Danio rerio: one gene and its partner. The protein of the gene in region 2 interacts with the protein of the main gene of each other region in a pairwise test. Links are inferred from orthologs where the notes say so. Each region holds a gene or a part of one and is shown on either strand. Other genes may lie near its edges.

Region 1 (6,873 bases), on a different chromosome or scaffold from region 2:
CGTTCCGAAACAAAAGTGTAGGTGTGAAAGCACCCTAAGTCTCTATATAAGTCTGTATATATATAAAAAAGTTTGTGTTTTAGGTGCGTGTTTAAACAGACATATACACATAATTAATACGATTAATATCTAAAGATGTCGATCTTGGTGAGTTTTTTTTTTTCCAAACACAAGTAATTTTGTCCTAAATGAGTATAAACAGTTAGGAAAGCAGTCGAATGCTTTTATTTCAATGTTAGATGTGTGCATTTTTAAAGTGACACCCGTTATTTAATGTAATCAGATGAAAAAATATCTAAATAAGTCATTCAGTCATTGCTCTTTAATCAGAATGTGTACGTTATACAGTGAAGAAACCGCTAATGAGATTTGATTCTATTTCATTATAAAAGCTATTCATTTTAATAAGCTGAACTGTTTGCTAATTTATTTGCTGCTGATGTATACTATTTAGTTTTTCTTTTGTAAGTACTAATAATAATAATAAAGCATATTACTGACCATTTAACTGTTTGTTTACAGTGAAACTGCTCTAAATGAGCATATTTAGTAATTTGGGGATTTTTTAAAGGGGGGTCAGGGGAATCCCTTATTATGGTGAGCATATCGCTTATTTTCACATACCAATGTTGACAGGTATGGTAGGGGTAGACGTTAATAACATAAAATGAATGGCTAATTTAATAAATAATATGAATAATTCTTGACATATTTACTGTTTTTACATTAGTGTGAGGGGTAAATTTATGGTTGGCGTAGAGGTAGATGTTAATGACATACAGTTGAATGTATTTCTGTTTAATGGAGAGCAGATTTCTTCAGCACATTTCTAATCATCATAGTTTTAATAACTCATTTCTAATAACTGATTTATTTTATCTTTGTCATGATGACAGTAAATAATATTTGACTAGATATTCTTCAAGACACTTCTACACAGCTTAAAGTGACATTTAAAGGCTTAACTAGGTTAATTAGGTTAACTAGGCAGGTTAGGGTAATTACCCAGGTTAGGTTACTTAGTCATTGTATAACGATGGTTTGTTCTGTAGACTATCAGAAAAATATATAACTTAAAGGGGCTAATAATATCAACCTTAAAATGGCTTCAAAAAAATTAAAAACTGCTTTTATTCAAGCCAAAATAAAGCAAAAAAGACTTTCTGCAGAAGAAAAAATATTGTCAGAGACACTGTGAAAATTTCCTTGCTCTGTCAAACATCATTTGGGAAATATTTAAATTAGGGAGCCTAATAATTCTGACTCCAATAGAACTATTATTGAGTAATTTATTAAATAATAAAATTAATTCTCATTATAATAACAGTTTTTACAATACTGTAAGGGTTTGGTTTAGGGGTAGATGTTAATAAAATACTATTTAATTAGTACATTAATAACTAATATGAATAATTCACGTTATAATTAGTGTTTTTACATAGGATTAGGGTTGGGGTAGATGTTTATAAAACACGATTAATGGGTAATTTAATAAATAATATAAGTAATTCTTGCTTTATGTGCTGTTTTTATATAAACGTGACGGTTGGGTTTAGGGGTAAATGTGAATAGAAAACATTTGAATGAGTAATTTAATAAAAAATATGAATAAATTTTGTTATAATTACTGTTTTTACTTTAGTGTGAGGGTTGGGGTAGGCATTAATAAAATACAATTTAATTAAATAAATAATATGGATAATTCTCGTTATATTTACTGTTTTTATATTACTGTGAGGGTTGGGTTTTGGCTTATGCTAATAAAATACATTTTAATGAGTAATTTATTAAATAATATGAATAGTTCTTGTTACAATTACTGTATTTAAATTAATGTGAGAGGAAGGTTTAGAGGAAGATGTAAATAAAAAACTATTTAATGAGTAAATTAATTAATAATATAAATAATTCTTGTAATATTTACTATTTTTACATTAGCGTGAGGGTTGGGTTTAGGGGTAAATACTAATAAAATACTATTTAATGAGTAAATTAATAAATAATATAAATGATTCTCATTTTAATAACTGCTTTTACATTAGTATGAGGGTTAGTTTTGGGGTTTGGGTAGGGGTAGACATTAATTAAAGACATTTTAACGAGTAATTTAATAAATAATATAAATAATTCTCATTATATTTACTGTTTTTACATTAGTGTGGGGGTTGGGTTCAGGGGTGGATGTTAATTAAATGCTATTTAATGGATGATTTAATAAGTAATATGAATAATTCTCATTATATTTACTGTTTTTACATTAGTGTGAGGGTTGGGTTTTGGGGTAGATGTTAATTAAATGCTATTTAATGGATGATTTAATAAGTAATATGAATAATTCTCATTATATTTACTGTTTTTACATTAGTGTGAGGGTTGGGTTTTGGGGTAGATGTTAATTAAAAGCTATTTAATGGATAATTTAATAAATATTAGGAATAATTATCATCATAAACACTGTTGTTACATTAGTGTGAGGTCTGTGTTTAGCATTGGGGAAGCAGACGTCAATACAAATAAAGGGTAAATTAATAAATTATATGAATAATACTTGCTTTAATTACTGTTTTTACATTACTGTTAAGGTTGGGTTAAGGGGTAGATGTTAATAAAACACAATTTATTTGATAATTTAATAAATAATATGAATATTTTCCTTATATTTACTGTTTTTTACATTGAAGTGAGGGTTGGGTTTGGGGGTAAATACTAATAAAATACATTTTAATGAGTAAATTAATAAATAATATGAATAATTCTCATTATATTTACTGTTTTTACATTAGTGTGAGGGTTGGGTTTTGGGGTAGATGTTAACTAAATGCTATTTAATGGATAATTTAATAAATAATATATATAATTCTAGTTATAATTACTGTTTTTACATTAGTATGAGGCTTGGGTTTTGAGGTAGAAGTTAATAAAATACTATTTATGGGTAATTTAATGAATATTATAAATAATTCTTGTTATATTTACTGGTTTTATATTAATGTGAGGGCTGTGTTTAGGGGTAGACGTTATTAAAATATTTAATGAGTAAATTAATAAATAATATAAATAATTCTCATTTTAATAACTGCTTTTACATTAGTATGAGGGTTAGTTTTGGGGTTTGGGTAGAGGTAGATGTTAATAAAATACATTTTAATGGGTAATTTAATAAATAATTCTTGTTATATTTACTGTTTTTACATTGGTGTGAGAGGTAGGTTTATGGGTAGGCACTAATAAAATACAATTTAATGAGTAAATTAATAAATAATATGGATAATTCTCGTCATATTTAATGTTTTACATTAGTGTAAGGCCTGGGTTTGGGGGTAAATGTTAATAAAATACAATTTAATGAGTAAATTAATAAATAATATACGCAATTCTCGTTATATTTACTGTTTTTACATTAATGTGAGGGCTGTGTTTAGGGGTAGACGTTAATAAAATACTAATTAATGAGTAAATTAATAAATAATATGAATAATTCTCATTTTTTTAATAACTGCTTTTACACTAATATGAGGGTTAGTTTTGGGGTTTGGATAGAGGTAGACGTTAACAAAATACATTTTAATGAGTAATTTCATAAATAATTGTTATATTTACTGCTTTGATATTTCTGTGATGTTTAGGTTAAGCGGTAGATGTTAATAAAATACTATTTAATGAGTAATTTAATAAATAATATGAACAATTCTCATGATAACTACTGTATTTACATTAGTGTGAGGGTTAGGGGTAAATGCTAATTAAATAATATTTAATGACTAATTTAATAGGTAATATGAATACTTCTCGTTATATTTACTGTTTTTACATTGTCGTGAGGGTTGGGTTCAGGGGTAGACGTAAACACAATACATTAAAATGAGTAATTTAATAAACAATATGAATAATTCTCGTTATAACTACTGTATTTACATTAGTGTGAGGGTTAGGAGTAAATGCTAATATTTAATGACAAATTAAATAGGTATTATAAATAATTCTAGTTATAATTACTGTTTTACATTGTCGTGAGGGTTGGGTTCAGGGGTAGACGTTAACACAATGAAATTCAATCAGTAATTTAATAAACAAAATAAATAATTCTCGTTAACTTCCGGTCGCAGCTGTATCCCTTCTAGCCGGTGTAAAGGCATCCAAGCAGATGTTTTACAGATCGATACATGAGTATTGAGGTATTGATGCCTCTGCGGGCGTTTCTATGTCAAACACTGTTATTTGTATATGTGTGTGGCATCATTTTACACAGGATGCCATTGCAAAAGACGCTTCCTCAACAGTGCCTATTCCCCAACAGGCTCCGATCTGTGTCAGACACATGCTACAGTAGCAACAATAGATGGATTATGAATGATTCTGACTGTATGCAGAATTTACCTTTGAACAAGAAATCGTATTCATCGTCTCTGTTGGCCATTTTAGACAAGCCGCCGCGTCCTGCAGTTCTTCCAGAAGGAGATGATCAGATGAGTTTGTGTTGATTAGCTCAGTGTAGAAAGAAAAGAGTCAAATAAAGGATAAAAGCGTACAATGCGCCACCGCCGCCGCCGCCGCTGCTGCTGTCACACCGCAGGAAGAGCGATCTGCTCGGGCTGCATTGGGGAGGAGTCCCGCTGAATAGAACCACAGCGGCCGGTAGGGGGCGCCACATTAGGACAAAAATGATTCATTGGATTCACAATATTTTTAATAAGTGGTTGCAAACTATTTATAAGGGCTAAATGTAAACAAATAAACTAAGTTGAACATAATTTAATTAGTTTGTTAACTTCAGCCCTTATAATTGTTTGCAAAGACCTTACCTTAAAAAAAATTAGCAAATCATAAATCAGTTTTTTCAGTGCTCACACACTGCTCTCAGATCAGCAATATTATTCTTTAGAAATCTGTTCCTGTTTTTATAAGCTATTGTAACTTTTTATCACATGTCTGGAACAAACTCGCAATCCTGAGTTATTAAGTGAGAATTATGAGTTATGAAGTGATTTTCTGACTTCATATTTCAGAATTTGGACTTTATATTTCAGAATTCTGACTTTATTAGGAAAAATTATGACTTTATAACGCAGAATTCTGACTTTATATCTCAGATCTATGAATTTATATCTCTGTGTTTTGACTTTATATCTCAGAATGGTGACTATAATGCAGAATTATGACTTTATAATGCAGAATTATGAATTTATATCTCAGAATTATGACTTTATATCTCAGAATTATGACTTTATAATGCAGAATTATGACTATAATGCAGAATTATGACTTTATAATGCAGAATTATGACTATAATGCAGAATTATGACTTTATAATGCAGAATTAGGACTATAATGCAGAATTATGACTTTATAATGCAGAATTATGACTTTATATCTCAGAATTATGACTTCATTATGTAGAATTATGATTTTATATATCAGAATTATGACTTTATGATGCAAAATTATGACTTTATATCTCAGAATTATGACTATTTTGCAGAATTATGAATTTATAATGCAGAATTATGACTATAATGCAGAATTATGACTTTATATTGCAGAATTATGACTTTATAATGCAGAATTATGACTATAATGCAGAATTATGACTTTATATTGCAGAATTATGACTTTATAATGCAGAATTATGACTATAATGCAGAATTATGACTTTATAATGCAGAATTATGACTATATCTCAGAAGTATGACTTTATAATGCAGAATTATGACTTTATAATGCAGAATTATGACTTTACATCTCTGAATTATGACTTTATAATGCAGAATTATGACTATATAATGCAGAATTATGACTTTATAATGCAGAATTATGACTACATCTCTGAATTATGACTTTATATATCAGAATTGTGACTTTATATCTCTGAATTATGACTTTATATATCAGAATTGTGACTTTATATCTCTGAATTATGACTTTATAATGCAGAATTATGACTTTATAACTCAGAACTATAGCTTTATAATAATATTATTGACCTTAAAATGTTTTTTAAAATATTAAAAACTGCTTTTATTCTAGCCGAATCAAAACAAAATAGACTTTCTCCAGAAGAAAAAAATATTATAGGAACTGCTGTGAAAAATTCCTGAATCTGTTAAACATCATTTGAGAAATATTTGAAAAAGAATAACAATTCACTAGAGGGTGAATAATTCTGACTTCAGCTGTAGGTAAAGGATGATAATGCAGAAGTTCTGGAATCTCAGACAGGACGTGTGTGAGGTGACCTTCTGTGACCGCTCTGCTTCCTGTAGCAGACAGGAAGTGAGGTGTACCTGCTGAATAAGCAGCATGGAAAGGACAAATATACCATGTATTAATATATGAAGTGAATTTTGGGAATTTGGTTTTCAGCATTTCCTAGAGCTGTGAAGCCTGAGCTAATCCAAAGAAAAGGACTGAATTTTAGCCACAAGCATCCACATTTTTAAGCAGCTTAGCAAAGGTTTTAGCAAAACTGTTTCCTATCATGTATTTCACAGATGCTTTCATACAAAGTCATAAAGTTAAAATATTTCTGTGCATCATGTCTTATTGAATATTTCTTTCCAAGATTTTTGCTTTTAATAAGTTGAATAGTAAAATTCAAATAACATCTAAATTATTTTTAGGGCAGCATAGTTGGCTTAGTGGTTAGCACAGTCGCCTCACAGCAAGAAGGTCACTCGTTCAAGTCTCAGCTGGGCCAGTTGGCATTTCTGTGTGGAGTTTGCATGTTCTTCCCGTGTTGGTGTGGGTTTCCTTCAGGTGCTCCAGTTCCCCCCAGTATAAACACATGCACTATAGGGGAATTGATTAACTAAATTGGCCATAGTGTATGAGAGTGTGTGAATGTGAGAATCTAAGGATGTTTCCCAGAACTGGGTT
Region 2 (5,683 bases):
AACATTCATAAAAACTCTCGTTTAAAAAAGAATCAATTTTAAATAAAAAGTATTTTAAAGAGCAGCATCACAATACTGACTTCATATAAATGCCACGGGGTTGTTTGATTGATTGCTTTACTTCAGTTAATATTCATTCTGATCTGACAATGCGAGTTAACACGAGGGGACTTTAGCTATGCCTTTTGCGCTCTCAGTTTCGTTATTTCAAATGGAGATGCGCCTGTTCAGCGCGCAAATAGGAAGAGATACACATGCAGTACGTCACTCTCACATCAACACCACAGTGACTCAGACTCTGCTTTATTATCCCGTTAGGGAAACTAAAATTGCAACAAGGTACCATAACACAGGCGAAAGTTCCATGTCGGTGGGTATTTACATTGCTGGTGGTGCTCTGCCAGGCCTCTACTCAACTGTCTTCAGTTCCTGTTTGCTCTTGGGGCATTTTCCCTTCAGTTTTGTGAAATGCAGGCTCAATCGAATTCGGATCAGGTGATTGACTTGACCACTGCATAACATTCTACTTCTTTCCCTTCATAATTTGATTGCTTCACCTTAGGTACATTTTATTTATTTATCCTTAATTTTTATATTAACTTAGAGAATTCTAGCCTGAGTTGGGCTGAACAAGCGCACTGAATTCAGGCCAATGTGAGGTGGATATGTGCTGTAATGATCATCACTGAGAGAGGATCTGTATCTGCATTTGTTAAACCATTAATCTGAGGTAATTAGTCTACTTTTATTACTGTGTAATTCTATACAAAGTGTGAAGTTGCCTGGTTGGTTCCTTTCACATGACTTGTGGTTCGCTTGCTGCACTGAAATGTTTAGATTTTTTTTCAACCCGTGTCGCCTGGAAAACGTGAGCGTGACATACCACATGTGTATCTCTTCCTACAGTATTTGCGCGCTGAACAGGCATGTCTCCATTTAAAATAATGAAACTGAGAGGGCAAAAGATGCTATATGTTAAAGTCCCTTTTTGTTCACTCGCAATATCAGACCTGTGCATTGAAAGGCCCTTTTTGCAGTTGAATTTAAATTAAATAAATACTTCACTGGCCGTAAAATGGCCAGGTCTGGGTGAGACTATGGACAGTTCTACATTTCGCATTTTTACTAGAAATAGTAGACACTCCGGGAATCTTTGGCATGCTTTTTTCAACATACTATGGTTTCAGACATACTAATTCTAATTTCGAATACTATTTAGGGCGGATAGTATGCAAATTGGGACGCAGCATTATACTTTTCAAGCAGGTGTATGTTCTGTAACTTGTGCTGTGACCTCAAAATTTCATTGTTTTTAATATGGAATGCTTAAATGTTTTGATTTATAAGTGCATGTATGTATGTGTGCTTCATTTTACCTGTATGTCTCTTATGAAGGAAACAGTGACTCGCTCCTCAAACTCATTGAGTGGTGTGTACAAGTTCAGAATCTTCACAATCTGAGATAGAGCAAAATTGAGTTAATAAAAGTAAAAACAAAACAAAACAAATAGAAAGGAAAAAAATGAAAGCTAAATGTGTACCTGCTGTAAACTGAGTGCAGTGCAGAGCGAGCAGATGGCTTCAGCGTCCTGTGATGTCTTCTTCTTCACCTGCAGCAGCTGCGCGGCCTGAATGACCGGCTCCATAGTGGCCACAGCTCCACACTGGTGCAGGTTCTTCCCTCTTAGCCACTCCTCCAGCTGACTGATGTTGTACCTGAAACCACACGTTACATTCATCTGACATTACTTTTTTTAGTCAATTATGTTTTCTTGAAGTCAAAGATTGCAAAAAGGTTTCACATTTGACATATTTTACCTATGCAAAGAATGCAACAAAATTAGAAAGAAGCAAGAATTAACAAACAAAAAAGAACTAGACATCGACACAATTCTAACATTTTTAGCTCTATACACCAACACAATAGATTTGAAATGAAACAAGATGTGCTTTAACCACAGACTGTCAGCTTTAATTTGAGGGTATTTGAGATCAAAAAGTTTGCATATGTGCCTCCCACTTGTTAAGGGACCAAAAGTAATTAGACAGAATAATAATCATAAATCAAACTTAAAATCAAACACTGGGTTTCATTACTGGTGTTGCTCTGCCAGGCCTCTACAACCACTGTCTTCAGTTCCTGTTTGTTCTTGGGGCATTTTCCCTTCAGTTTTGTCTTCAGCAAGTTAAACGCATGCTCAATCGGATTCAGGTCAGGTTATTGACTTGGCCATTGCATAACATTCCACTTCTTTCACTTCAAAAACTCTTTGGTTGCTTTAGCAGTTTTATTTGGGTCATTTTCCATCTGCACTATCCAATGAGTTCTAAAGCATTTGGCTTAATATGAGCAGAAAATATTGCCTGAAACACTTCAGATTTCATCCTGCTGCTTTTGTCAGCAGACACATCATCAATAAAATACAAGACAACCAGTTCTTTTGACAGCCACACATGCCCAAGCCATGTCACTACTACCACCATGCTTCACTGTGTAGGATCATGAGCCATTCCTTTCCTTCTCCATACTCTTCTCTTCCCTTCACTCTGGTACAAGTTGATCTTGGTCTCATCTGTCCATAAAATATTGTTCTAGTGCTGTGAAGGCTTTTTTAGAGCTCTAATCTGGCCTTCCTGTTTTTGAGACTCACCAGTGGTTTACATCTTGTGGTGAACCCTCAGTATTCACTCTGGTAAAGCCTTCTCTTGATTGTTGACTCTGACAGAAATACACCTACATGCTGGAGAGTGTTCTTAAACTGGCCAACGGTTGTGAAGAGTGTTTTCTTTACCAGGGAAAGAATTTTTTGGTCATCCACCACAGCAGTTTTCTGTGGTCTTCCGTGTCTTTTGGTGTTGCTGAGCTCACTGGGACATTTTTTTCTTTTTAAGAATGTTCCAAACAGTTGTTTGGCCACACCTGATGTTTCTGCTATCTCTCTGGTGTTTTTCTTTTCAGCCTATTGATGGCTTGCTTGACAGATAATGACAGCTCATTGGAACTCATCTTAAGAGTTGACAGTAACAGATTCCAAATACAAATAGCACACTTGAAATGAATTCTGGACCTTTTATCTGCTCATTGTAATTGACATAATGAGGGTATAACACACACCTGGCCATTGAACAACTTGGAAGCCAATTGTCCAGTTACGTTTGGACCCTTAACAAGTAGGAGGCACATATACAAACGGTTGTAATTCCTACAGCTTTCACCTGATTTAGATGTAAAAAGTCTGCAGTTAAAGCACATCTTGTAACACAAAAATGTTAGAATTGTGTCGAAGTCCAAATATTTATGAACCTATTTGTATATACTAAATCTAAATATAAATAAACAATTTGTGAGATTTATGCAGGCATGTGTTTTTACACAGAACATGCATAATAAATATACACACACTTAAATTCAAATGTCAAAACAAACTTTTAGTTTAGATGAGATGAATCAATTTTTGCCCAGGACTAAAAAAAACACATCACAAACCATCTACAAGACCCAATTTACCAAGACCTGTTTAAACTCCAGAGTATGATCAAAGAAAAAGATAAACACAAACAAATGATGCTTTACATAGGGTTTTCACCAAGGTAACATGCAAAATATCTTTCTTTTTTTTATTACTTTTTAGGGGCTTTTCACCATTATTAGGATAGGACAGTGGAGATTTTAGACAGGAAAGCATTGGGAGCAGAAAGAGACTTGAAGGATTAGCAAAGGATCTCGAGCCGGGATTTGAACTTGGGTTGCCATGAGTACCTCAGTGCAACATGTTGCTGCAAAAACCACTAGGCTATTGGCACCATTGGCAAATAATGTTTTTCAGGTGTTAGTATCAGTATGTTAGTGTTAAATGTCTAGTGCTCTCCAAAGCATTGACGAATTTCATGTTTAGATGATATAAACCTGACGTAAACACCCAAAGCTTGCAGTTTGCAGTTCCGTCTAAATGGATCAACGTTTTTTTTCAATGATTCTTACCAAATCTTGACCAATCAAATGTGCTCTAGTATCTAACATGCCCCCGCCACCCCCACTACCACCTTCAAAGCGCTTCTTATTTAAGGCAGAGCTGTAATGAAAACGAAATGCTATTGGCTGTTTTTAAAAAAAGAGCTTATGCTACTATCATGCTAATCATGCTACTATTTGCCCCACCCTCTCTTTATATTTTGATTAAGATTACATCAAACATTTAATACAAATGCACATTTTAAAGCCCTTATTGACTTTGTGGCTGTAATTAAACCCATTCACTGCTCTTTAAGTTTACCTAACTATGATGACTGCTGAGAAAAATATTAATTAGCCTAAAAGCATTAAAAATGTGTACCTGAGCTGCATGCCGGTGCTCCAGGAGCAGACGTCCTTGCGCAGCAGCAGGTTGTTGAGGGTCACTGCGTTGATGGAGTAGAAGAGCTGGCGAAGCACCTGCTGGCTGATCTCAGGGTCCAGGCCGTGGTCCGCCATGGTAGAGTAAAACTGAGCCAGCTGTTTGATCAGTGCCTGAAGCGTGTATCCTGCGGGACCTCCACTCTCACAGTCCACACTAGAGGAGCGGTTCCTGTAACCCATGGGCTTCACTCCGGCCAGGCTGGGGATGCTCTCGCTCTCAAGCATGGCAGACACTACAAAACACACTCATTATGAAAAAATGTACTGTGCTAATGATCAATCTTCTTTGGTTTGGTGTCTCTCTGCACCTACCGATCATGGGCTGCATGTTGGCCTCGGCAACTTTCACAAGCTGCTGATAGATTTGGATGGAGAGGTCACTCAGAACCTGTCGGTACTCCGCCAGGTCAAAGTTCTTCAGGCAGTGCTCGTTCTGCTTGGCAGAGTTCTGGGTCATGAACGCCTAGGACAGAATTAGACAGGCAAATCATACCGAGCACTGGTTACACTTTATTTTTGATGCTCCCCTGTGGACTATTGGCTTATTTTAAGTAACTACAGTCGTGTAAAAAGACACCCTATTGAATTTCAGGTTTTTTAGTTTCAAGACATTAAAAAAAACTGCTTGGTAGGTCTTAAAATTTGAAAGATAACACCTCAGATGAACAACATCACATGACATCTCACACTGTTTATTAAAAAAATAAACAAAGATCGGAAAGCCATGGGTGATACACATAGGACACTCTATAATTCAGATTCATGTATATCAACTTTTAACAAATAGGGCTTGGTACCCTACTGTGTTTGTCCACATGATTCCAGCGACCAGACATTTACAGTCAGAAAAGGAAAGGATAAATACATGAGATGTATTTATCTCATGATAGGAAAAGACAGCAACAGAATTGCTGACATCTGAAGCTGGTTTGTAACATATTATCAAGAAAAACAACTACTTTGCTGTTATTTGTAATCTAATCTGTTATTTGTGTTATTACAGCTGCCGTAGTTTACTTTCAATCTGCTAAATACATATAGAAACGGTCTCAATCAACCTCCTGTTAATACTTGCACAATAACATAGAAATGTTAAATTGAATGTTAATACCAGGAGGTGGAAACAGTGTAACTGTCACCAGAATGTAGATTAAGAAAAATATAAAAAAAACTTTACACAAAGATTAAAACTGGGTTAATATGGTCTTTAAAAGCCAACTTTTTAAGCATCACTTGAGCTTATTTATTTGCAAAATGACCAAATAAAATTGGGTAAAAGGAGCTTGA

What was found.
Region 1: the proteins of myo5b (region 2) and rab11bb interact in binary tests that used the Homo sapiens proteins (3 or more experiments, as listed by UniProt). The link is inferred for Danio rerio from reciprocal best matches to the Homo sapiens genes MYO5B and RAB11B.

Annotation. Positions count from the first base shown.
Region 1 is NC_133177.1:59,785,553-59,792,425, reverse strand, and holds the start of rab11bb (RAB11B, member RAS oncogene family, b), read right to left. Parts: upstream 4,622-6,873; 5' UTR 4,418-4,621; coding exon 4,378-4,417; intron 1-4,377. UniProt on the Homo sapiens protein: The small GTPases Rab are key regulators of intracellular membrane trafficking, from the formation of transport vesicles to their fusion with membranes.
Region 2 is NC_133196.1:23,909,864-23,915,546, forward strand, and holds part of myo5b (unconventional myosin-Vb), read right to left. Parts: intron 4,860-5,683; coding exon 4,709-4,859; intron 4,630-4,708; coding exon 4,335-4,629; intron 1,717-4,334; coding exon 1,542-1,716; intron 1,458-1,541; coding exon 1,377-1,457; intron 1-1,376. UniProt on the Homo sapiens protein: May be involved in vesicular trafficking via its association with the CART complex. The CART complex is necessary for efficient transferrin receptor recycling but not for EGFR degradation.